Linked DNA regions of Nothobranchius furzeri. The protein of the gene in region 1 interacts with the protein of each later gene in a biochemical or structural test. Links are inferred from orthologs where the notes say so. Each region holds a gene or a part of one and is shown in the gene's direction. Other genes may lie near its edges.

Region 1 (4,172 bases):
CTCAGTGCCAGTGATAGGAATGCATCAAAACGAGAAAACCTCGGCTTAAATCAAGCGAACTAGCGCTGCATTATGACCAGTTCCTCTGTTTACGGGATGGTAAAGTGTTATGGGGGGCAGTGCAACAATAACGGCGACAACATTCGTCCTGTTTGGTGTGAAAGTGGAACCAGACCTCTTTTACTTCATAGATAAAACTGGAAGCTTATGTGCACACAGTTCTGTCAACTCAATGAAACCTGTCCTTTTTAAATTGGTGGTGATTACTGGGTTTTTGGGTGCATGGAGCAAATTGTGTTGTTTGCAAAACTAAATAAATAACTGCAGTGAATGGACCTTATCCCACATTGTCATGCTTTTTACAGAAGACGGATGGGAACCATGAATACTGGATTTGTCAAATCCAGTTTTTGAAAACTGGATCAAGATTTTTGCCAACACTTGATTGTTTTGATGAAGATCAGGAACAGGCTCCATCTAGGAGCTGAAATTTGCACCAAAAAGTCACAAAATGCTGCAACGTTCTGGATGAGCTACAAAAAAAATTCAGGCTTTGTCATGGTGGTCCTTCAGGAAAATGGAGTCATTTACTGCCGGAAGCTTCCTATCTTGTGCCATTTAGGCGATTTGCTGCAGCCGTTTCTCACCCTTGGCTTTTGCTGTTTCCCACCATCTTAATTTTATTTCAGGAGAAATGCAGAATGCTACGTAAATCATCAGAGCCACTTGTTTTCCACTTGACCTGACATCTCCTGAAGATGATGCTGTGAAGTCAAGAAAAGGTGAAGATGAAAGAAAGCTCCGTGCCCCAGTTATTTTGGTCTTTTCCAGTGGTTGCTGCAACTCGTCTGCTTTTGTAGCATCTATGCTCGCTTTATCTTGTTCCCTAAACTTAAAAGAACATTATTTCTAATTTGACGGCTGAGCCTATTTGGGATTTGATTAAAGTATCTAAACTTTTTCTGAGTATTTGCTGCCTTGATGTCTTTTCCCCAACATCCCAGGACATCAAAGGTCCCTGATGGTCCCAAACCTGAAACTTTTGCACTGCACAAACAAAAACTGTCCCCTCGCATCTTTGCACAAATCCTTTTTAATCTGCTGCTGATGATTCATTATGACGCAACACCAACCTGTAGAACCAGAAAAATCCTTCCATTTCCTGCAGTTTCATTCTAAACTTCACAGAAAGATCACTTAGATTGTGCATCTATTGTAAAAAACATCCATCTACACCCTTATTTGGACTTGGTTGCATAATTATTGTCCGTCAGAATGAGATTTGACCTCCCGCTTTGTTTGCTGTGTTATGGTGACCTGGCTCCTAAACGCACCATGGCTATTGATTTGGCTGCATCTTTAATTTGTTTATCCGTTTTTAAACCTTTCCACTGTTCCCAGCGAGTCCGACGAGCCCATCTAGATGCCTGTGAGGCAGGCAGAGAGGAAGGGAGAAGGAAATCAGCCGCCGTTGCGCAGCATATCTGAGGATGATTCATGTGTGAGAGGTGAGTGGAGTCTCATGCAGGATTTTTTTTATTGTTTTTTAGCTCGTGAGTTGTGAAGCTGTTTACTTTTATCCCGTTTTCACAGCGATCGGCTGCCGTGCATCAGGTGGATTTAGTCATTAGGCTGCAAATAGAGCGGGGATCTTTGCTGTGCGCTCAGGATCATCTAAATGAAGGAAGAATATTCAGAGATAGTCGTGCTGCTATAGAGTTTCCTCCTGTCTGGCATCCAGATGCAGCCGCTAAAAGCTATTTAATGCAAAGGTGAAGTGGAAATGGCCATGTGGAGGAGAGGAGACGGGGAAGTTATTTGGGAATCACTATTTCTGTCATTCCTTCTTGTCTTTTCCTCTCTCCCACCAGCTTTCCCTGACTCCCACACTTTAAAGGAAAAGAGGGAAACACTACACTCAGGAAAAAAATAACGAAGTGGATTGGGAGGAGTCTTTTTTTTAGAGCCTGTTGAGCAGAACCTGAAGGCAGACAGAGCAAAAGAGGACTCAGAGGTCTCTCCAAGTTGCTTGACAGGAGTTCTAGGAGAGACGAGATCCAGAGAGAGAAAGAAGAGAGGAAGGAGAGGGTGAGCAGTACTCCTCTCTCCCACCCAACAAATGGGAGAGCGGGTCTAAATCATGTTGCTTATCAGTGCTGTTGTGCTGTGATGTTCAGGCAGAGCCCGCTGCAGAGCAGGAAGCAGTTTGGACCAGCGCTCCGAACCAGGATCAGCCCAGCCTCCTCAGAGCTGGAGACCCTCTCCCCACCTCGGCTCTCACCCTCGCCCCGTGCCCTCCTCAGCGACATGTACCCTGAAGAGAGCCGAGGCTCTGGAGGGGTCGCCGCTGTGGACTTCCTAGAGGGGACGTACGACTACGCCGCCCCCACCCCTGCCCCAACTCCTCTTTACAGCAGCTCCACCACAGGGTACTACTCTGCTCCTCTGGACGCCCATGGACCTCCGTCTGATGGCAGCCTGCAGTCTCTGGGGAGTGGGCCAACCAGTCCTCTGGTGTTTGTGCCCACCAGTCCAAGACTCAGCCCCTTTATGCACCCTCCCGGTCACCACTATCTGGAAGCTGCTTCAACTCCCATCTACAGGTATGAGATTTGAATTTAAACGAGCGTGCACCACTCGTTAATCACTGATGGTGAGCACAGGCTGGAGCAGGACTTGATAGAACTGCTAAGATCAAGTCAATCTAAAATGTCAGATGAGTTTAGTCAATTATTAATAAAGACTTTAGGAGGCCATTTCATAAAAAATATATTTAAAAAATACTTATTTGGGTGTATTTCCCCAATTTTTTTCATGGTTTCATTTTGATGCAAATTACTGCTGCATAATTATACACTTTATTTCTAATTTACCACAAAAAAATCACAAGAAAGTTAAATGAAAAACTGCTTTTAGACATTTTGTTTTACAGGTGAAACTCAAAAAATTAGAATATCGTGCTCAAGCCCATTTATTTCTGTGATCCATCTTAGACTGAGAGACCATCTAAAGGCCCAGGAACCCTGTGCAGATGTTTATGATTCATTAGCTGATTAGAGTGTGACACTTTGAGCTTAGAATATGGAACATTTTCACAATATTCCGATTGTCTTGAGATTTTGAATTCGGGGCTTTTTATAAGCTGTACACCACAATCATCCCAATTATAACAAAGAAAGGCTTAAAATATCTGGCTTTGCATAGAATGAGTCCATCTCATTTATTAGTTTCACCTTTTAAGTCAAGTTACTGAAATAAATAAACTTTTGCTTGATATTCTAATTTTCAGAGTTTCACCTGTATTTTTAGTCTAAGAAAAAAAACATTCTTATGTAATGAGGTAAATATTCTTTGATTTATTCACTAGTTAATATAATGATAAATTCATATTTTTTGCACTCAAAATAAGAAAACTTGGTCATATTTAAGAATATTAAACTTTTTTCAATTAGTTTTGTTTTTGCAGATAACGTTTTTTTACATAAATAAGAAAAAATGTTCAAAATCAAGACTTTTTTTTAGCTTTTTTGAAAATCACTTTTTGCAGTGTATAGCATTGGCGGTTTGGTTGAGTCGTTAAAACGCCTTAAAACAAAACATAATTAAATAATCGCAGAGCTTTTTATCTCTAGCTTCAAACAAAACAGCACTATTATCTCTCTGTAAAGGATCAAGCGCTGTCCGGGTTTCTAATTCCAGAGATTAAGGACTTGGTAAAGGACCTTGAGAGAGGAACAATACGTAAGAACAACACAAGTGCACATGCAGTCTCAGGTGGAAAACACGAGGCCTCTGTCATTTTTAAAGTCACTATGCAAAGGTTCACCTCTCATCTGGAATGGATTTAATGGCTCTAAACACTTTTAAAAATGACAAAACTGGTATTTGTTCTGCATAATCGTCTAAACATTGCTTTTTATCCTCATATGCTAATAAAAAACTGTTATTTATAGTGTTTTATGAGTACCGCAGTTTAATCAACAAATTAAAATTCATGACTCGTTGCAGATCCAGTCACCAGCCAGCCTCCAGAGAGGACCAGTGTGACGCCCGTGACGAGGCATTCAGTGTGGGGGAGTTAGGAGCCGGAGCTGGGGGGTTTGAGATGGCCAAAGAGACACGTTTCTGTGCCGTGTGCAGCGACTACGCCTCTGGGTACCACTATGGGGTGT
Region 2 (3,360 bases), on another chromosome or scaffold:
TGATCTAAACTTTGCATCCTGTAACAAAAATACAGCACAAGTAGGGCTGGGGGTAAACGATTATTTTTAAAACGATTATTCTGACGATTATTTTATCGAATAGTCGACTATTCTAATGACTATTTAGAAAATTAATCTAATGATTATTTTTCTATTGCACAATTAACAAAAACCAGAAAATCTCAAATAAATTCCTCAAAAAAATTGATAAATTGTTACTGTAAGAGAATAAACACTACAGGCCTTCCATTTTGTATAACACTGCTTTTATTGTGTTGCGGTTGGTTATGTTCTGGTGACGTGTAGAACTTGGGAGTGCAGGCTGCTGCCTGAGAGGTGGTAGAAGATGGAGTGTCTCCACGCTGCTTTGTTTTGGTCACTTATGTGCGTGAGGCGAGTGGTCTTACGGGTTAAACCAAACTCAAGGTGATATTTTACACTAAACCGAAAACCCACAACACTCTAAATGTAATAAAAGGGAGATCTACACCACAAAAAAGATTAACTCTAAACCAAAACGTAACAGCTTATCCCAACGCAAGAAGCTGTTAGCGAAGATGCTAACAGTAGCTTTACCAACGTTAAGTTCAAGTTACCAAGTTTAAATAAACCAAAACACCCAGCAGCAAACAGACCAGCACGGAGGAGAGACTGCTACCACCAAAACAGCTCTCCTAATGTCTGAAAGAAGCTCCTTTATGAAGGGAGAAACGCTCCCGGTGATTTTCTACATCTGCGATAGAGACGGAGCAGCGCATCTGACCCCGGAAGTTGTTGTCCGTTGCCGGGAGACGAAGGCGGGCAAAACAGGAAAATAATCTAGTAGTGGACGGACATTGTTCCGGGTCTTCGGTATTTGGCGGAGATGTTAGTGAAGGCGGAGAAGAGGGCGAACTAGAGGAAAAACAGGCAGATTCCTCCTCTATTTACAAACTCCTGGGGATGCAACAAGTGGGCGCGGTGCGTCGACTTCCGGATCTGACGTCGACAAATTTTTAGAATCGAGCCGTCGACGTAGTCGAGGCTTCGCTACAGCCCTAAGCACAAGGGGAAGCTTCTCTGTCATCCTGGACATGATCATCTTGAGTTGAACTGAAAATAGTAGAAGGCTTATAAGTTCTGGTCAGAAACACACTGACAAGTCTTGTATTTTGTAAAATGATTTTGTCAAAATTGGGCAATATTATTGCTCCTTTATTCCAGATCATGTAGCAAGTATAATAACAGCATTGATACATTTATGGCCAATCCATAAGCAGCAAAAAACCTGATCTGAGCATCGCTAATGTTTGCAAAGATTTAATTAAAAATGGTACATTTTTTTAATTTAAAATTCATATAATTGTGAAAGTCTAACTTGTGTTTTGTAGCTATGAACCGGAGCTGTTTCCAGGACTGATTTACAGAATGATCAAACCCAGAATCGTCTTGCTCATCTTTGTTTCTGGGAAAGTAGTGCTCACAGGTAAGGCCCGAGCTCTCAGACGGGTGTATTTTTAGATTCTAGTTAAAGTATCACCTAATAATTTGGCACATTGTTTTGGATCTCCTTTTATTTTGAAAGGATTGTAATTTTTTTATTTAAAATAGAACAAGAGATTCTGTAAGTTTTCTAGATTCATCTTGATACTGATCCATGTTTCAATCTTTTTTGTTTTTCCTGAAGGGGCCAAAGTGAGATCAGAGATTTACGAAGCATTTGAAAACATTTACCCCATTCTGAAAGGTTTCCGCAAAACGACGTAGGACCTGGGGTTTCTTTTCCACCTCCTGAAACCTGATCCTCTTATTTCATTCATTATTTAATGTCACATTTTTAATGAGAAGGTAGACTGATGCAGGTGTTGGGAGTTTTTTCATCCATCTTTCTGTCTTCAATTTTTTTAATCATCATTTTAAAGGTTGTTCTTTCACTCTGACCATGTTTATTGTGTCCTGTGGTTGCAGGTTTTTGTTGTCCCATCTCATCCCCAACTGTACATATGACTGTAAAAAATGTAAAGTGTTGTTGAGCAGAAAAGCAGTTCGACGACTAGGACTGCTGGTTTTATGTGAAGCTGTTTTAAATACTTTTATACTCTCAGCTGTTAGCATTTGTTGACCTCTCTTTAAATCCCCTGCTGTACATGATACTTGGGATTTTAAATCCTATGCTTACTCCCTTAAGGTAGAAAATAATCCTGATTAATGACTTTTTTTTTACACTCATTGGGAGTAGACGCCCATTAACTCAAGCTGAGCTAATCTTTATTTGACTGGCCAAGTTGTCCATGAATGTTTGCTGCTGCTAAACAGTTAAGTTGTTTAGAGGCGTTTGATAACTTTCGACTTTGTCTGGTTGAAGTCGTGAAACAATCTTTCTGTTGAAAGAGAGAACTGGTTTGTTGTGGTTACAGGAAGAAAGTGTTTAATGGTTAAACTTGAATGTGTGTATATGTTCTTCTGTAATTAGAATGAGAAGTGATGCCAATCTTAAAGTCGATGCAGCTCTTCAGCGGGATTTCAGTAGGCTCAATATTGATATAAGGGAAAAAAAGCTCTTATGATTAATATTAATTTCAAACCCATGCAGTATAGTTTTAAAAATGTTTTTGGTTGTTTCAAATCAGCAGAATTTTGGCTGTTTGGCCTTTGTCTAAAATTAAAACTCAAGTAGGATCACATTGAAGTCATTGCTGGTGGTCTTATGTGTTATACGGTCAGCTAGTGACGTTTATGGCAACTAGTTAAAAGTCTGGTTTATTTAGTGACATGTTCAGTCTCCATCTTTGTCTCTTCTGTCTGATTTCTGTCCTCCCAGCAGACTCGAAGAAGTTTGGTCCATTGTTTTCTTTTCCACCCAATAAAAGTGTACATATGACTCAAGTCTACTTGGTTTTCTTTGCAGCAACATTTTACAGCTGAAGTCTCTTGCGTAAAACCAAAAGTCACCATGAAGAAATAAACTGTGAAGACTAAAATACTGAATCCCTGTATAGAAATAGTTTAGGGAAAACCTCTGGGTAAGAGTTAAAACATGTTGTAGTTGGATGTTAGAGCTGCAGAAAATACATAATTTCTCTGAATATCTGAAATAAAGTAATTTGTGTATTAAACAATACAATCATTCTTACAAAAGGAATTGTGGCTTATTTGATACCCATCATAAAAAAGACAAGTCAGGATTGTCTCCCATGTAACATCAGTCAAAAGAGAATCATTTGTAGGTGATTATGTTGGAACTGACATGTCAAAATCATTAAATTTTAAGAACAAGGGTGGTATGGGCTTCTGGTCAGGATGCTTCCTGGACGCCTCCTTGGGGAGGTGCTTCGGCATGTCCTGCCGGCAGGAGGCCCCCGGGTCGACCCAGGACACGTT
Region 3 (4,267 bases), about 1.5 Mb from region 1:
GCCAACCCAGATCCTGGTCCCAACCAAGCCACCCTCTCCTTTGCTCCTGGGGTAAGGAGAGGAGGGGGCAGAGGCCAGAAGAGCGACATACAGGCGCCATGGCGATCCCTAAGACAACTTATCTCCTTTCTCTTAGTGATAGCGCTTGTCAAAATAACTGCCAAGATACACAGCCAGTGAGGAACCGGTTAACTTGTAGGTCGTCCAATCAGCAGGCTTTGACTTTTTCCATTATCTAACTGTTCTCTTTAACTCTCTCTATGTTAGACTTTTATCAAATAGATTTTAAAAGTCATTATATTTAAAGCCAAACAAGGCTAATAAAGTCAAATATATAGGTGTATTTGTGAACTTGTGAATTAAAGCAACGGGTGTAATTTATTTCAACATTTCTACCCATTCAGAAGACATTTTTAAGCTGCTGCTAAAGACAAAATATCCTGATGCATATCTTTTCAAGGCTAAATTCTGCTTTAATCATACAACCTCAACTTCCTGTAGGAAACTTTCATTTATAAAGAAATGTCGCCGCCTAGTGGTAATAGTTGGTAACTCCCGCTTCATCATGGTAAGATAATGAAGTACCTAACTTCTGGGGTTAAGTGATGTAAGAGGCCTCCTAAATGTCCAAGAAAAAAAACAGCAAAATATAAAATTATTAAAAACTAATGTAAATTATTTATTTGGTGTGATTTATGTTTATTAACAACAACAATAAAGTATATTTGAATTGAAACCTTTGTATGTTTATTTATTTGGCAGACGCTTTTATCCAAAGCAACGTACAATTTTTAACTTGTAGGACATGCTGTGATCTGTAGGGGAAACCGGAAAACCCGGACGAAACGCACGCATGCATGGGGAGAACATGCAACTCTACGCAGAAAGGCCACAGCCGAGTTCCGAACATGCAAACACAGTGCTAACAACTGCACCAACGTGCAGCTTTTTATGATATGCTACTCTAATTTTTGCTTTTTAATTAATTTTGGATCTCTTTACACATTTTCTAAACAAATCCCTTTAACGCAGGTTTGTGAAAACCAGCTTGAAAGCACAAAAGGAACTGTAATAATTGGGTTGTTTAATTAACAAAGTTTAAGTACCCTTGCAAAACAATCAGAGTAATCAAATTGACGTTATTTTGTTGAAAGAAATAAAGGTATGTAACCATTGAACCGTTTTATTAGGAACAAGGATCAAAATAAAACGCGTATCCAGACATGAATTAAATCCAGTGCAAAAGCAAGTTCCCTGACCGGGAATCGAACCCGGGCCGCGGCGGTGAGAGCGCCAAATCCTAACCACTAGACCACCAGGGACACTGTAAGCTTCAGGTGATATGTATTATATTTTTATAAAATCAATGAATATTTTTTATTTATTTATGTGTTTGTTTTGTTGCTGTATGTTCAACATGACTTATATGTTTGCGCATTAGCAGAAACAAGGTAACACCGCCGCGTCGTCCGCTGGAGGTTAAAAGAAAAGAAAACATCAGCCTGTCCGTGTTTTACCGAGCACATGACACCAGGGGGCGTAGCGAGGGGAGGAACCTTCGTTGGTTTTCATGTAGCAACTCGAAGATGCTCGCTAGGTATGTGAGCAGCTACCTGTTTCTCATGTCAGGTTGAGCGTTTCGCAGCGTTGTTGCAGATAAATAAGGCGTCGCCGCTAAGCCGGACAGCTAGAACGTCTCATGGTTAGGAAGCGCGTTCTGACCGTAAGGGTTGTTTCTTACCAACACCAGGTTGTTATTGTCTGTGTAAACAAAGTGGCTAGCTGTAGCACCGTTAGCACAGTTTTCTTGTCAGCTGGAAGACGATTGGACCTTGTTCGATATGCTTTTGTTTGCCGTGGCTCTGATAAATTATACATTAGTACAGCTGGGTTTGTGTTGCCCCTTCTGCTTCGTAAAGGACAACAGCTAAAGATGGGCGAAGAGGCTAGAAATGACCATAATAGACAGTGAAATTTACACGTAACAGCGGCTAGATATCTAGCATTCAAGGCTACTCAAAGATAAAGTTAAGCTCATTAGAAGTGCATTGCTTAAAATGGACTGTTTACAGAATTGGATCCAATGCTAATAATAATGGACAAACTGACCGCTGCATTACATAATAAACCACATGCTTACTGTGGAAACCAGGAGCAGATGTTTTTGTAACTAGAGCGTTTCCACCTTTTTATTTTCAGCTGACTAACGTGACGTGATTATTATAGGATGCTTTCATCGCCCTCCACTTATGCTAAGGGACTGATGGATCTGTTATTGGCTTTTTTTTTTGCAGCCCACTGAGTGCTGTGGAGTGAGGAGACACGCAGAGAGCTTTCTAATTTCCTTCCTTCTTTCATTTACAGGATGAGACAGAGGTGTGAGATCTGAGGAGGGTTGTCTCTGTTAGTAGGGATGCACCAACTCTAACTGCATGCAGAAATAGAGCCCTGCCCAGATGGAAAAGAGAGAGAGAAAGCAAGGATATTTTGACAGGTAAGGCGGATTTTGTTTGCATGTTTGCAGTTTTTTTAGAGATACGCAGAAAATTTGTCTGGTGACTGGAATGGTCGATTTTCAGCATAACCTGCATCTGACAATTTTCTTTAGTTTTTCCCATTTTCCACTGAATCAAATTCAGAGTTGATGTTTTTATCACCAGACTCATCATTTTCAATTTAAGTATTTAAAACGATGCCCGTATTTTCAAAAATTGTTGCAGTGTCAATGCAAAGTGGTGTCAAAGGGCTGCTTGCGGAGCTGTAAGTTACTGTTATTTTCCCAATGTCATGTTTATGAATAAATCATTTGGCTAATCAGATGGACTCTAGCTGCCCTCATTGTCCACATCTGGTTTCTCTCTCTCTCTCTCTCTCTCTCTCTCTCTCTCTCTCTCTCTCTCTCTCTCTCTCTCTCTCTCTCTCTCTCTCTCTCTCTCTCTCTCTCTCTCTCTCTCTCTCCTCTCTCTCTCTCATTATTAACAATGTGTCATTCATTCATTCATTCACACACACACGCATTCACAGCCTGGTGGTGATTAACTGCTATGTAGCCACAGCTGCCCTGGGGTAGTCTGGCAAGCCAGACTAAATAAATGTATTATTTATAGTTTTAGTTCGCTGTAATTAACTTTGCAAAGCAAGAATTTAGTCCAGTTCACAAGGCTAGCCCTGGGGCACACTGACATAAATTAAATTGAACATATAATATACATATAATTAAACAAAAATGAATAAAAATATAAAATTCCAACAAGTAGGTTGTGGGTGGAGGGCTTAGGCCAACCAGCCATTCCTCCCCATCCCCACACATTTCTCTCCTCCTGCTCCCTCACATCATCACACAATCATGCACATAGGACTTTGGGGGGTGGACAAGTCAGGGGGTGTGGGTGTGGACCCCATTTCCGCATTCCTGTGGCAGCCTGCCCCCCAATTTTATTTGCACATTAAACACTTCCACCAACGACATTCCACGCAAACACACACTTAGGGCCTTGGGAATAAGCGCATACAACGGCATTTGGCAAGGGGATTTCTCAGCCTCATCGCAAGTGCCGGTGCCCACTTTCAATTTTAAACAGCACTTAGACACAGAGGGTTGTGGGGGGAAGAGGGGTGGTGTGGTGGCATCAGCTGGCATAGGCCAGAATATGCCTGTACTGCCCGCTCACCACAGCCACGAATACACCTCATCAACATGCACCAACACTGTATTGGAGCAGGCGGAGGGTGACTAGGGGTCTTAGCACACCTCTGGAGGCTAGGAGGGGGATCTGGCCGTCTGGCTGGGGTGTGGGTAGTGGGTCGCTGTGCTCGGCATTGGGCGGGGGAGCCTGCTCATCAGCACCCCAGGTCGAACTCTGGGAACCGGTGATGGTTGTACCCCTTGTGCAGCAGTACCGTGACCAGAGTGAATAGGGTGTGTATGGGGAGTGTGAGTGGGTGTCTGGTGTGCATTTTTGTGAGTCTTTGGTTGTATGTGTGTGTGTGTGCATGAGGGAGGGAGTGTATGACTGTATATGTCAGGTGGGGCCTTTGACTCCTCTCTTTTCCTGGGACTTCTTTTGCTGCTATACGTCTTCGCCTCCCTTTTCCCTGTCACACCTGGTGTGGAGTGTGGTGCCGTGGTCTGCCTGAGTATTCGCGGCTCCCGGGTCAGGGGGTTTAAGATTTTTAGCGTCTGCCTGAATGATCCCGGTGGCTGTCTGGTGGGATCTGGGTCCCTGGGCTCTGTTGGGTCCCCGGCGGGGCGGGTCGCCCCGGGTCG
Region 4 (3,262 bases), on another chromosome or scaffold:
GAGTTAGGAGCTATATAAATAATCTGAACTGAAGAAAAACATGTACATTATTGAGATTAGTTGTGAAATGGCCAACAACAAGAGAATGTAACATTTGTAAAAACAATAACACTATTTCTTTTTTGATCAAGATGCTTTTTTAGATAAGTTTGTCTCACAAACGGAACATCTGCAGTTAGAATGCCTCATTTCATTTCAAATGTGTTGACAGCAAAATAAACATGTTCAAAAACTTCTACGTAAATGCAGCTGTTACTCAGGAACTGGGCAAAAGCAAATGCAAACAAAGAAACTATAGAAGCAGACATTTGTAAAACGGGTTAATTACGTTCCAGATCACTAACAAACACTTCTGTGCATGTTTCAAATGAAAAACTGGTCTTACACACGACCCTTACGATCACACAAACAACCTTTTAATCTTCTGTGTAATAATCGTGTTAAAGATCGAAAAGGCAGAATTAAAACGCAAATCTTGATGGATATCCATTAACGGTGTGGAACACTGAAAAAAAGTTTTAATTATTATTTCTGATTATAATCGGTCTCCGAGTGTTTCGTTCATGCTGAACATGAAAATAGTCTCCTACACCTAGGATTTGAAAAGCCTGACAGATCTACGCCACGCTGTCACCTAACATTCATGGACTCACCCTCCTTGACTCGCGGCTGTTGTTGGCTTAGCATCCAGGAAACAGCAGAGAGGTAGTAGAAGCTAACGTTAGCACAAGCAACTCCACCACACAGCAGACCTCCTCCAGGCTCGTGTTATTTGTGGAGAGAAAACATCAACGTTGAAGAGCAAACAGAGTCAGTGGTAGAGTCGCGTTGCTGCTAGCCGGTCCGATTTTAAAGGTTAGTAGGTGAAGTGGTTATAAGGTTGAAGTATGCTTTGGGACTTCTGAGGATTAGATGCATTAAGTGTACATTTTACCGTTTGTTCCCACCCCAGAGTTACAGGTTAAGCTATCAATGCAACTTGCCCCTAGGGGGCTCGCTACAGCGATGAACTTGTTTTATATTCTTCCCGAAGTCATTTGGAATCATTTCAATAGTTCCTTTAGTCATCACACACTGTTGAAATTCATCTCCGCATTTGACCCATCCCCGTGGGGAGCGGAGAACTGCAGCTGTGGTCGGGAATTATTTGGTGGTTTTATGCTACTACTACTGTTTCCCTAAAATTGAAGCATAATTCCCACTGTTCCCGGTTTGGAAACGTTTGTCTAAACTAAACTACGTTTGATGAGAACACGATGTGAAGGTCAACGGCCTCCTTTGTGGTCTGGCCTCCTTCCAGCACTACAGGTGTGAGCTGGCGGGTGCAGTGACACAGCGTGGGGCTGATTACCTCTGCAGTCCTTGGTAGCTTGGTACTGCCTGGGTTGATGACACTGCCTTCCAGATAAGGCCAATCCCACTTGATATCCATGTGTGACTCCAGCAGCTACTTCTCAATGAGAAAAGCTTATCTGTTTCCCAGGGTTATTCCAGCAGTCACCTGGCAGAGCGCGCGGTTGTTTTTCACATTGGGTGTATTGACATTTCAAGGTCCACTAAGAAGGGAGGGTTGGCCTTATAAATAAGACTGGAGGAAGCAGCAGCTCTCAGAAGCTCAGACGGAGCCCGTCGTGGCAGAGAAGAGGTTCAGAGGAGCAGCCGCATCGAAGAAAGATGGATAACAGATGCCAGTGTTCCGCTAACAAACAAAGGCAGTTAAACCCGATCCTCTACAACATCTTGAGCCAGATGGACAGCGGTAGACCGACTCCAGACACCTCCAGCCACAGTTCCGTTCCTCACAGATGCAACTGTGAGACGCGGCGGAGAGTGTGCTTAAAAAGGCCGTCTGTGGTCTGCAAAGAGGCGTCTGCAGTTCTGGTGAAAACCGTCCACTTCATGAAGAACTTGCCAGCGTTTAACCAGCTGCCACCCAGTGACCAGTTTGCACTACTTAAAAGCAGCTGGGTGCCACTTTTTATTTTGGGTTTGGCCCAGGAGCGCGTGGACTTTGAGGTGGCGGACGTCCCTGCTGACAGCATGCTGAAGAAGATTCTCCTGAACTGCCAGGAGAGCCCTGAAACAGAGCGGGAGCAGCCAACCATGGCAGGCATCAGCAAACTCAAGTCGTGTCTCAAAAAGTTCTGGAGTCTAGATGTGAGCCCAAAGGAGTACGCTTACCTGAAAGGGACCACGATATTTAATCCAGGTATGTACTGCGTTAACTGGATTCAGACAACAGATAATCCAAGGACTCGTTTGTCAAGCAACAATTCTGGTTTTCTCTCAAACAGATGTACCAGATTTGAAGGCAGGCCTGTTTGTCGAAGGCTTGCAGCAGGAAGCTCAGCACGCCCTGAGCGAGGTGGTCCAGCTGCTTCACCCTGGCAACCAGGAGCGCTTTGCTCGGATCCTCCTCACAGCCTCCATGCTGCAGGGCATCACACCCAGCCTCATCACCGAACTCTTCTTCAGGCCTGTGATAGGCCAGGCCAACCTGCTGGAGCTGCTGGTCGACATGCTCTTCAGCCGATGGGAGGGGTGGTCCTCGGGATGGTGACCTCCATGCAGCGTGCTTTAGAGGCTTCTATAAAGCACACTAGGGTTTTGACTTTCGTCCGCTGAAGCTGAGGTCACTTCACCGTCTGAGCAGAACTCCTGAGAGGTTTTTGAGTTTTGATCCTACGTGTCGATGAGCTCCTCTGCTGTAAATAAGCATCTGCATTTCCAGAAAACTTGAATAAATATATTTTTGTACACGACTGAGTCCGATCCGTGGATCCATCCTCCATTACATGTTGTGCTCAGCAAACTTTTCAGAAAGTCAAGCGTAAGCCTGCGCGTTAAAGGAGAGAATCTAAAATTAGAATGAAAACACACATTTGTGGCTTCAAATGGAACAGAAAACCTTTTTTCTGCCTGTACTGCTGTGCTGTGTCTCCCTCTAGAGGACGTTTGGTGGAAGTTTTTTTTTCTCAGAAGACTAGCGGCAAATATTTTCTTACTTTTGCATTTCTCACAAAACCACAGCATCAAGATCCCCCCACCCCATCGTCACAAAAAGGGACAGAATGGCACGAACGCTAAACTCAGCGCAGTATAAAAAAACACTGTCTGCATGTAGTTATTTGAGAAATCAGGCTTAGTCATCCTACTTTGTGGTATGTTAGTTGTGAAACCCTGTCTTTACATGACAACTCGTACAGGTAAAACAGGAATGTGCTGGTGGGGGCGGTGAGCCGGTGGAAATGGGGTTACGCGT
Region 5 (2,935 bases), on another chromosome or scaffold:
TGTGTGGGTTGCAGACTCCATCTCATGCTACTACTAGAGTGAAAGCATTCAAAAGTGACCAAAACATCATCCATCATCCAGAAAGCAGAGGAACTGAGAAGTAGTCTGTGGTCACCACCTGCAGAACCATTCGTTTTTTGTTTGCCTATAAATTCCACCTGTTGTCTTTTCTGTTTGCACAACAGCAGTGAAACTGCTTCTCAGTCACTGTCACTGGAGTTACATCGTGTTGTTTAAGTGTTCCTTTTATTATTGTTGAGCAGTGAACTTATATATAGATTTACATATCTGGATTTTTACACATATTTAAAATGTTAATACTTAGTAATTGTTGCATTGGTGATTTTGTAAACAAAAGTCTTTCGTTGAGTTTTATCAAGTTTATCAGATTCTAGCTTCTACTGCAGCCAGAATTAAGGACTTGAGGAGAGCTTGTGTCAGATCTCATTTTTTGTCGAGGCAGCAGATTTTTCAAGACCCACAAAGCAATCACAGACATCTTCTAGGGCACATATAAGTCTTTCGCCTTAAACCAGACAGACTGGCTTCCTCTGACGCCCACCCTGGCCTTTGTACAGATTTAGACATGCATCATGAGGAGGTCCACTGCACTTTAATTGGCACGTATATATGCTGGAAGTTGTGGGGCACCAGATTTCTAAATGAAATGAGTCTGTGGCTGCTTTGAACATCAGTGATGTTGTTACTATAAACTTTAAAAAGATAAACACGTTGGGTTTTTTTCCAGACGCGTGCAGCAGGGGGCGCGCTTGCATGACGGTGTAAACTGGAATTTTATTTTTTACTTTTTATTTGACTTCTGATATCAGCTCCCATTCATCAGCCAAAGCTGCTTTTCTCCTTTTTGTTCTGCTGCTAGAATTTTATTATAGCCTTCATCTGGTGCGCACGTACATAAAAACTAAAGCAAGTTTTATTTTGTTGTTCGGTGTTTTATTGTTGTTGTTTTGTTTTGTTTGTTTGTTTGTTTGTTTCATCGTGACAAAATACTTTAAATAGCATGCGGACGGGAAAGAATCTTCTCCGCACGGTACAGGTCGGTTCTGCTCTGCGTGACACACCTGCCAAGTTAAGCCCCGCCCCCACCCCTAATAAAACCCCTCCTGAGACAGGAAGATCTGTCAATTCCTCCCAATCCAAGAGCTCCCGCGTAGTAGGAGCTGCGTGTTTCTACGGGTAGTGACCGAGGAGGTTTAAACTCTCTGCATTCCGACGCATTTCACAACTGAGGCAGGAAAACCAGAACCAGCCAGGGCGTCCCACCTCAGCCCGACGTGCTCCTGCACTCCAGCGGGTGTTGAGATCCATGGAAGTGGCCGGCTTGTACGAGGAGGGCAGCTTTGCTATCCACGGTAGAGACGGCTTCATCGGACCCATAGGCGGAGGCTCTTACTGGAGGCTGGGCGACTCGATGACGGAGCTGGGTCTGGGGGAGCGGGAGAGAGCCATAGACTTCAGCGTTTACCTGGACTCCGCTTTGCACTGCCCGCAGCTGGCGGCGCACACGCAGCAGCAGGGGGACGCCTTCTCTGATTTCCTCGGGGAGAACAAGATCAAAAGACTCGCAGCTTTCCAGAACTATAAGAATTACTCGCTGCTGAGCGAGCTGGAGGCGAGCCAGTGCGAGGGTGCGAGGGAGCCCAGGGATCCGTACGCGCTGGGTTACCCCGAGCTGCAGGAGACCCGTGTGGACAGCGTTCTCAGCCCGGATCTGGTGGCCAGCCGTTACCGAGCCGCCGCTTCCACCGAGAGAGAAGACAGTCCGGAAGACGCAAAGATGGAGAACGGGTCATCTGGGTTTGACATGAGGTCCTACCTTCATTACCAATCCACCAGCGGAAGTATTGGAAACATCTCCACTGCGTCCTCGACCTGCTCCAGCCCGCCTGGCACACCTGCCCCGTCAGGTAAAAGCAGGTCACCGTCGCACGGTGGAAAGTCGTCTGGCGGGAAGGCGAAGAAGCGCCTGGACAAGGACAGTGAAGAGTACCGGCTGAGGAGGGAGAGGAACAACCTGGCAGTGAGGAAGAGCAGGGACAAAGCCAAGATGCGCAACTTGGAGACGCAACACAAAGTGCTGGAACTGGCTGCGGAGAACGATCGTCTACAGAAACGCGTGGAGCAGCTGTCCAGAGAGCTGGCCACCCTGCGCAACCTGCTCTCCGCCACCGGACAATGTTAGAACTCCCCACCTCCATCCCCCGGGGATACCGCACGGATCTCCCCCCGGATCCCCGCGCTGCTTGCCTGACAGACTTAACGGCGCAAGAGGCGACCCACTGTGCTGAAAACGGTACTCTGTAAACAGACCGCCAGTTTACATGGACACTTTGAATGAGACTGAACAAGTGGCTGCATGGATTGCGCAACCATTACGCGACTTTTCACTTGTCCTCATAGCTTTATTCTCAGATGTAATTTTAGTGTATGCAGTATTTCTGTGCAGGTTTTACATTACCAGTGAATTTCTACATTTTGTGTACACTGTATCTGCAGCAATGGCTGTCAGGGGAAGAGTTGTGCTGCAGTGAAATGATGCAACTCTTTGTAATAGTATTGGCAATGAATGAAATAGTCTAATTATTTAATATTAAAAGGTGAAATGCTTTAATTGTTCTTGATATTTTATTGAATTAAAGAGATTTATACTTTGTTTAAACTATTTCACTTCCCTTTTCTTCTTTTTTTGTCCCTTTCACCATGGATCGTGCATCGTTCACCGTCATCATAGACTGTGTAATACCATGTTTTGGGGTTACGACACACTGCAGATAAGAAATCACCTCGATGATAAGCAGAATGTGCACATTTAAATGTCAGGCTATGGTGAAATCAAACAAAGCACCATGAGATTTTTCTCTTTGGAACAGCTAATTTAGAAAATAGTCACATGGGCCCACACAAAACATCACTC
Region 6 (3,500 bases), on another chromosome or scaffold:
AATCCAAAACAAACACATCGTGTGACTACCTGCGCAGGCGGAGCGTACGAGGACAGGAACAAGACCCGCCCCATCGTCATAACAACCATCAGGCCGGGCGGGCCAGCTGACAGGTGCTGCCTCTTCCATTCACTCCTGTTCAGACATTTTTGACCCTTTTGAGCTTCCATACAAACTGAAAGCAACTTTGTTTCTATAGAGAAGGAACCGTGAAGCCGGGTGATCGACTGCTGAGCATCGATGGGATTCGTCTCCATGGCAGCACGCTGTCTGAGGCCATGAGCATCCTGAAGCAGTGCGGCCAGGAGGCCACGCTGCTGATCGAGTATGACGTGTCCGTGATGGGTCAGTTTAGTCCGATTAAAACCAAATGAACAAAATTAATGAAGAGGTAGTTCAGTTATTAAAAGTAGTGCACCCAAAGACAAAGCCCTGTGGAACACCAGGATGAGGGAATTAAACTAGATTCAGAAACACGTTACACTCGCTGTTTTTTCTCCGTAGACTCGGTTGCTACGGCGTCGGGGCCCCTGCTGGTTGAGGTTGCCAAGCCAACGGGTTCCAGTCTGGGTGTGGCCTTGTCCACCTCCGTGTTCTGCAGTAAGCAGGTCATCGTCATCGACAAAGTCAAACCAGCCAGTATAGCGGACAGGTACCACGGCCCGCTTGGCAGAACTTTCATTTCTTTATTTGATGATAAACCTTTTTCTCAGTAAACGGATTATTTTCTCAGACATCTGAATAATTTAATGTTTGCTGAACAGATCTGACCTTCTGCTGTGTTTATCTGAAGGAATCATAGCGCTGATGGGGTCTTTTGCGTTTGTCTCAGAGTCAGTTACAGACGTTCTTCTTGATTGCCTTGATGCTTTCATGACTCGCTTCACTCGATGGGCACAACGTTCCTCCAGTTTGCAGGTTTTTATGGGTTTTAGCTTCCACCTTCTGGTGAACATGAGTGTTTGTGTGTAGGTGCGGCGCTCTTCATGCAGGAGACCACATCCTGTCTGTCGACGGGAAGTCCATGGAATTCTGTTCCCTGGCTGAAGCCACTCAGCTGCTCTCCGCTTCCTGTCAGACCGTCCGTATGGAGATCCTGCCTCAGCACCAGGCCCGGCCGGCCCTGAATGCACCACAGCACGGTATATTAATACACAGCAGCTCCTGAATGCACCACAGCTCAATATTAACACACAGCAGGTCCTGAACGCACCACAGCTCAGTATTAACACACAGCAGGCCCTGAATGCACCACAGCTCGATAGTAACACACAGCAGGCCCTGAACGCACCACAGCTCAGTATTAAAACACAGCAGGCCCTGAACGCACCACAGCTCAGTGTTAAAACACAGCAGGCCCTGAACGCACCACAGCTCAGTGTTAAAACACAGCAGGCCCTGAACGCACCACAGCTCAGTATTAAAACACAGCAGGCCCTGAACGCACCACAGCTCAGTATTAAAACACAGCAGGCCCTGAACGCACCACCACATGTCTGTTTTGTTTTCTGTTTACAGATCTTTTGGGACCTTTTTTACATAACTTATGTTTTACTGCTTTGCTGTTAATTAAGCAGACAGAAACCACCTGTAGGAGAGATTAGTTGGTTCTGGACGGAGATGTTGGTGAGCTGACAGATTTATAACTCGCTCCCCTACATGTACATCTCTGCTGGACTCAAATGTCCTCCAGTATGATGGGAACATAAAGACGTCAAATTTAATGGATCCTAAACAAACTCTTGACATTGAGGAGGCCTTAAATGCACCACGACTTTCTGTTAGAGGAGACAAAGAATGGCTTTTATTCCACAAGTCGACATGAATGCAAACATCTTATTGAGAGACCTGTGACCTGCAGAGTCATTCTATTTAACTCTGACCTCTGGGTCATTCAGATAAACGGTTTCCTAGTAGATGAAAGGAGTCTAAAAGTCTGATACTGAAACAGAGTTAAGGACCTGAACGATGCTTCCTTCTACACCTGATCGTGGACCGGAGGACTTGTTCAGGAATTATCTTGTTGACCATCTTAGGAAACGTGGTTCTAATCAAACTTCTTTGTACTGCTGCAGAACCTCCTGACCTTTGACCTCTGCCTGCTCCTCTTGTCTGAACCTGAACATCCTCCTGTGTGTGTGTGTGTGTGTGTGTGTGTGTGTGTGCGTGCGTGCGTGCGTGCGTGTGTGTGTGTGTGTGTGTGTGTGTGTGTGTGTGTGTGTGTGCGTGCGTGTGTGTGCGTGTGTGTGTGTGCGTGTGTGCAGTCAAGGTGCAACGTAGTCCCCGCCCCCTCCCCTGGGAAACCGGAGGCTCCACCCCCATCCTCCCCCCCTACCACTACAACACCTATCACCCCGACCAATCAGGTGGCAGATCGCACAGCCGCCATACAAACAACCCTCGTACGTCCGCCCCGCTTCTCTGCTTCTTTAAATAAGGGGCAAGAGAGTTTGACTAAATCTCTCCCTCTCTCTCTCTCTCTCTCTCTCTCTCTCCCTCTCTCCCTCTCTCCCTCTCTCTCCCCAGCCCTTAGCCACTCGTTCTCTCCCGGCTCCATGTCTGCCTACAGTCTCTCGTCCCTCAACATGAGCACCCTGCCCAGGAACATGTATCCCACAAGTCCACGCAGCACGATGATGAGGAGGAAGGCTAAGAAGAAGGAGTTCAAGAGCTCCTGTGAGTCTATCCACGTTTTGAATAAAACTGTATTAGCCCACGAGCGGGAGCAAACAGAAACTGAGTCTGTTTGTAATTAAATGTCGTTAAAATTCTCCCATCAGTATCTCTGGCGTCCAGCACCGTGGGTCTCGCCGGTCAGGTGGTCCACACAGAAACCACCGAGGTGATGTTGCTAGGAGACGGCATCATGGGGTTCGGCCTGCAGCTCCAGGGTGGAGTGTTTGCCACAGAAACGCTGTCATCCCCGCCGCTCATCGCCTACATTGACCCGGACAGTCCTGCTGAGAGGTGAGATGGAGACGGGAAGGACGTTTGGGTGCTTTCGTGTTTCTGACAGACGGAGAACCTTTTCTGTAAATATGAAAATCTGGAGCCAGATAATGTTTTTGTTGAATAGAGAACTCTAGATTAACTTCACTTCATTAGGTGGAACTTTTTGTACTTGTTTATTTGCACATTTCAGCAGTTTTTACCAGGGACGCTCCGACACAATCACACGATCGGAAATCGAGTCCAACCGTGTGATTTTAAACAGGTTGGAATCGGAGGGGACAACTGGATTTAACCGCTTAAAACAACAAACGTTTAAATTCGTCCGGAGAAAGAGATTTTCTAACGGAAAAACGACGGCTTAGATCCTCTCCATCAGTGCTCTTTGTGTCACAAACGATACCGTAAAGTTTAAGGTAGACCGGGAGTTCACACACATAACACACAGCAGCTAGCTAACAGAGCATGGCTGTCGCCTTAAGAGAGAAAATGTCTGTAATTTGATATTCTAAACAAACAGCAGAGGGAGTGTAATGTGTGCAAACCGGCAT

What was found.
Region 2: the proteins of esr1 (region 1) and tbp form a complex in vitro, tested with the Homo sapiens proteins (2 studies listed by BioGRID). The link is inferred for Nothobranchius furzeri from reciprocal best matches to the Homo sapiens genes ESR1 and TBP.
Region 3: the proteins of esr1 (region 1) and ncoa7b form a complex in vitro, tested with the Homo sapiens proteins (2 studies listed by BioGRID). The link is inferred for Nothobranchius furzeri from reciprocal best matches to the Homo sapiens genes ESR1 and NCOA7.
Region 4: the proteins of esr1 (region 1) and nr0b2a form a complex in vitro, tested with the Homo sapiens proteins (2 studies listed by BioGRID). The link is inferred for Nothobranchius furzeri from reciprocal best matches to the Homo sapiens genes ESR1 and NR0B2.
Region 5: the proteins of esr1 (region 1) and cebpb form a complex in vitro, tested with the Homo sapiens proteins (2 studies listed by BioGRID and IntAct). The link is inferred for Nothobranchius furzeri from reciprocal best matches to the Homo sapiens genes ESR1 and CEBPB.
Region 6: the proteins of esr1 (region 1) and grip1 form a complex in vitro, tested with the Homo sapiens proteins (2 studies listed by BioGRID and IntAct). The link is inferred for Nothobranchius furzeri from reciprocal best matches to the Homo sapiens genes ESR1 and GRIP1.

Annotation. Positions count from the first base shown.
Region 1 is NC_091742.1:2,865,243-2,869,414, reverse strand, and holds the start of esr1 (estrogen receptor), read left to right. Parts: upstream 1-1,372; 5' UTR 1,373-1,497; coding exon 1,498-1,508; intron 1,509-1,937; exon of another isoform or gene 1,938-2,088; intron 2,089-2,177; coding exon 2,178-2,603; intron 2,604-4,008; coding exon 4,009-4,172.
Region 2 is NC_091749.1:35,004,844-35,008,203, forward strand, and holds the end of tbp (TATA-box-binding protein), read left to right. Parts: intron 1-1,370; coding exon 1,371-1,465; intron 1,466-1,666; coding exon 1,667-1,746; 3' UTR 1,747-2,860; downstream 2,861-3,360. UniProt on the Homo sapiens protein: The TFIID basal transcription factor complex plays a major role in the initiation of RNA polymerase II (Pol II)-dependent transcription.
Region 3 is NC_091742.1:4,412,591-4,416,857, reverse strand, and holds the start of ncoa7b (nuclear receptor coactivator 7), read left to right. Parts: upstream 1-1,467; 5' UTR 1,468-1,597; exon of another isoform or gene 1,598-1,723; intron 1,724-2,362; exon of another isoform or gene 2,363-2,364; 5' UTR 2,365-2,456; coding exon 2,457-2,494; intron 2,495-4,267. UniProt on the Homo sapiens protein: Enhances the transcriptional activities of several nuclear receptors. Involved in the coactivation of different nuclear receptors, such as ESR1, THRB, PPARG and RARA.
Region 4 is NC_091745.1:40,694,475-40,697,736, forward strand, and holds nr0b2a (nuclear receptor subfamily 0 group B member 2a), read left to right. Parts: upstream 1-1,235; 5' UTR 1,236-1,674; coding exon 1,675-2,209; intron 2,210-2,294; coding exon 2,295-2,560; 3' UTR 2,561-2,762; downstream 2,763-3,262. UniProt on the Homo sapiens protein: Transcriptional regulator that acts as a negative regulator of receptor-dependent signaling pathways. Specifically inhibits transactivation of the nuclear receptor with which it interacts.
Region 5 is NC_091755.1:52,069,630-52,072,564, reverse strand, and holds cebpb (CCAAT/enhancer-binding protein beta), read left to right. Parts: upstream 1-1,163; 5' UTR 1,164-1,327; coding exon 1,328-2,203; 3' UTR 2,204-2,435; downstream 2,436-2,935. UniProt on the Homo sapiens protein: Important transcription factor regulating the expression of genes involved in immune and inflammatory responses. Also plays a significant role in adipogenesis, as well as in the gluconeogenic pathway, liver regeneration, and hematopoiesis.
Region 6 is NC_091741.1:34,258,608-34,262,107, reverse strand, and holds part of grip1 (glutamate receptor-interacting protein 1), read left to right. Parts: intron 1-37; coding exon 38-113; intron 114-199; coding exon 200-345; intron 346-504; coding exon 505-652; intron 653-972; coding exon 973-1,142; intron 1,143-2,264; coding exon 2,265-2,402; intron 2,403-2,526; coding exon 2,527-2,676; intron 2,677-2,780; coding exon 2,781-2,967; intron 2,968-3,500. UniProt on the Homo sapiens protein: May play a role as a localized scaffold for the assembly of a multiprotein signaling complex and as mediator of the trafficking of its binding partners at specific subcellular location in neurons.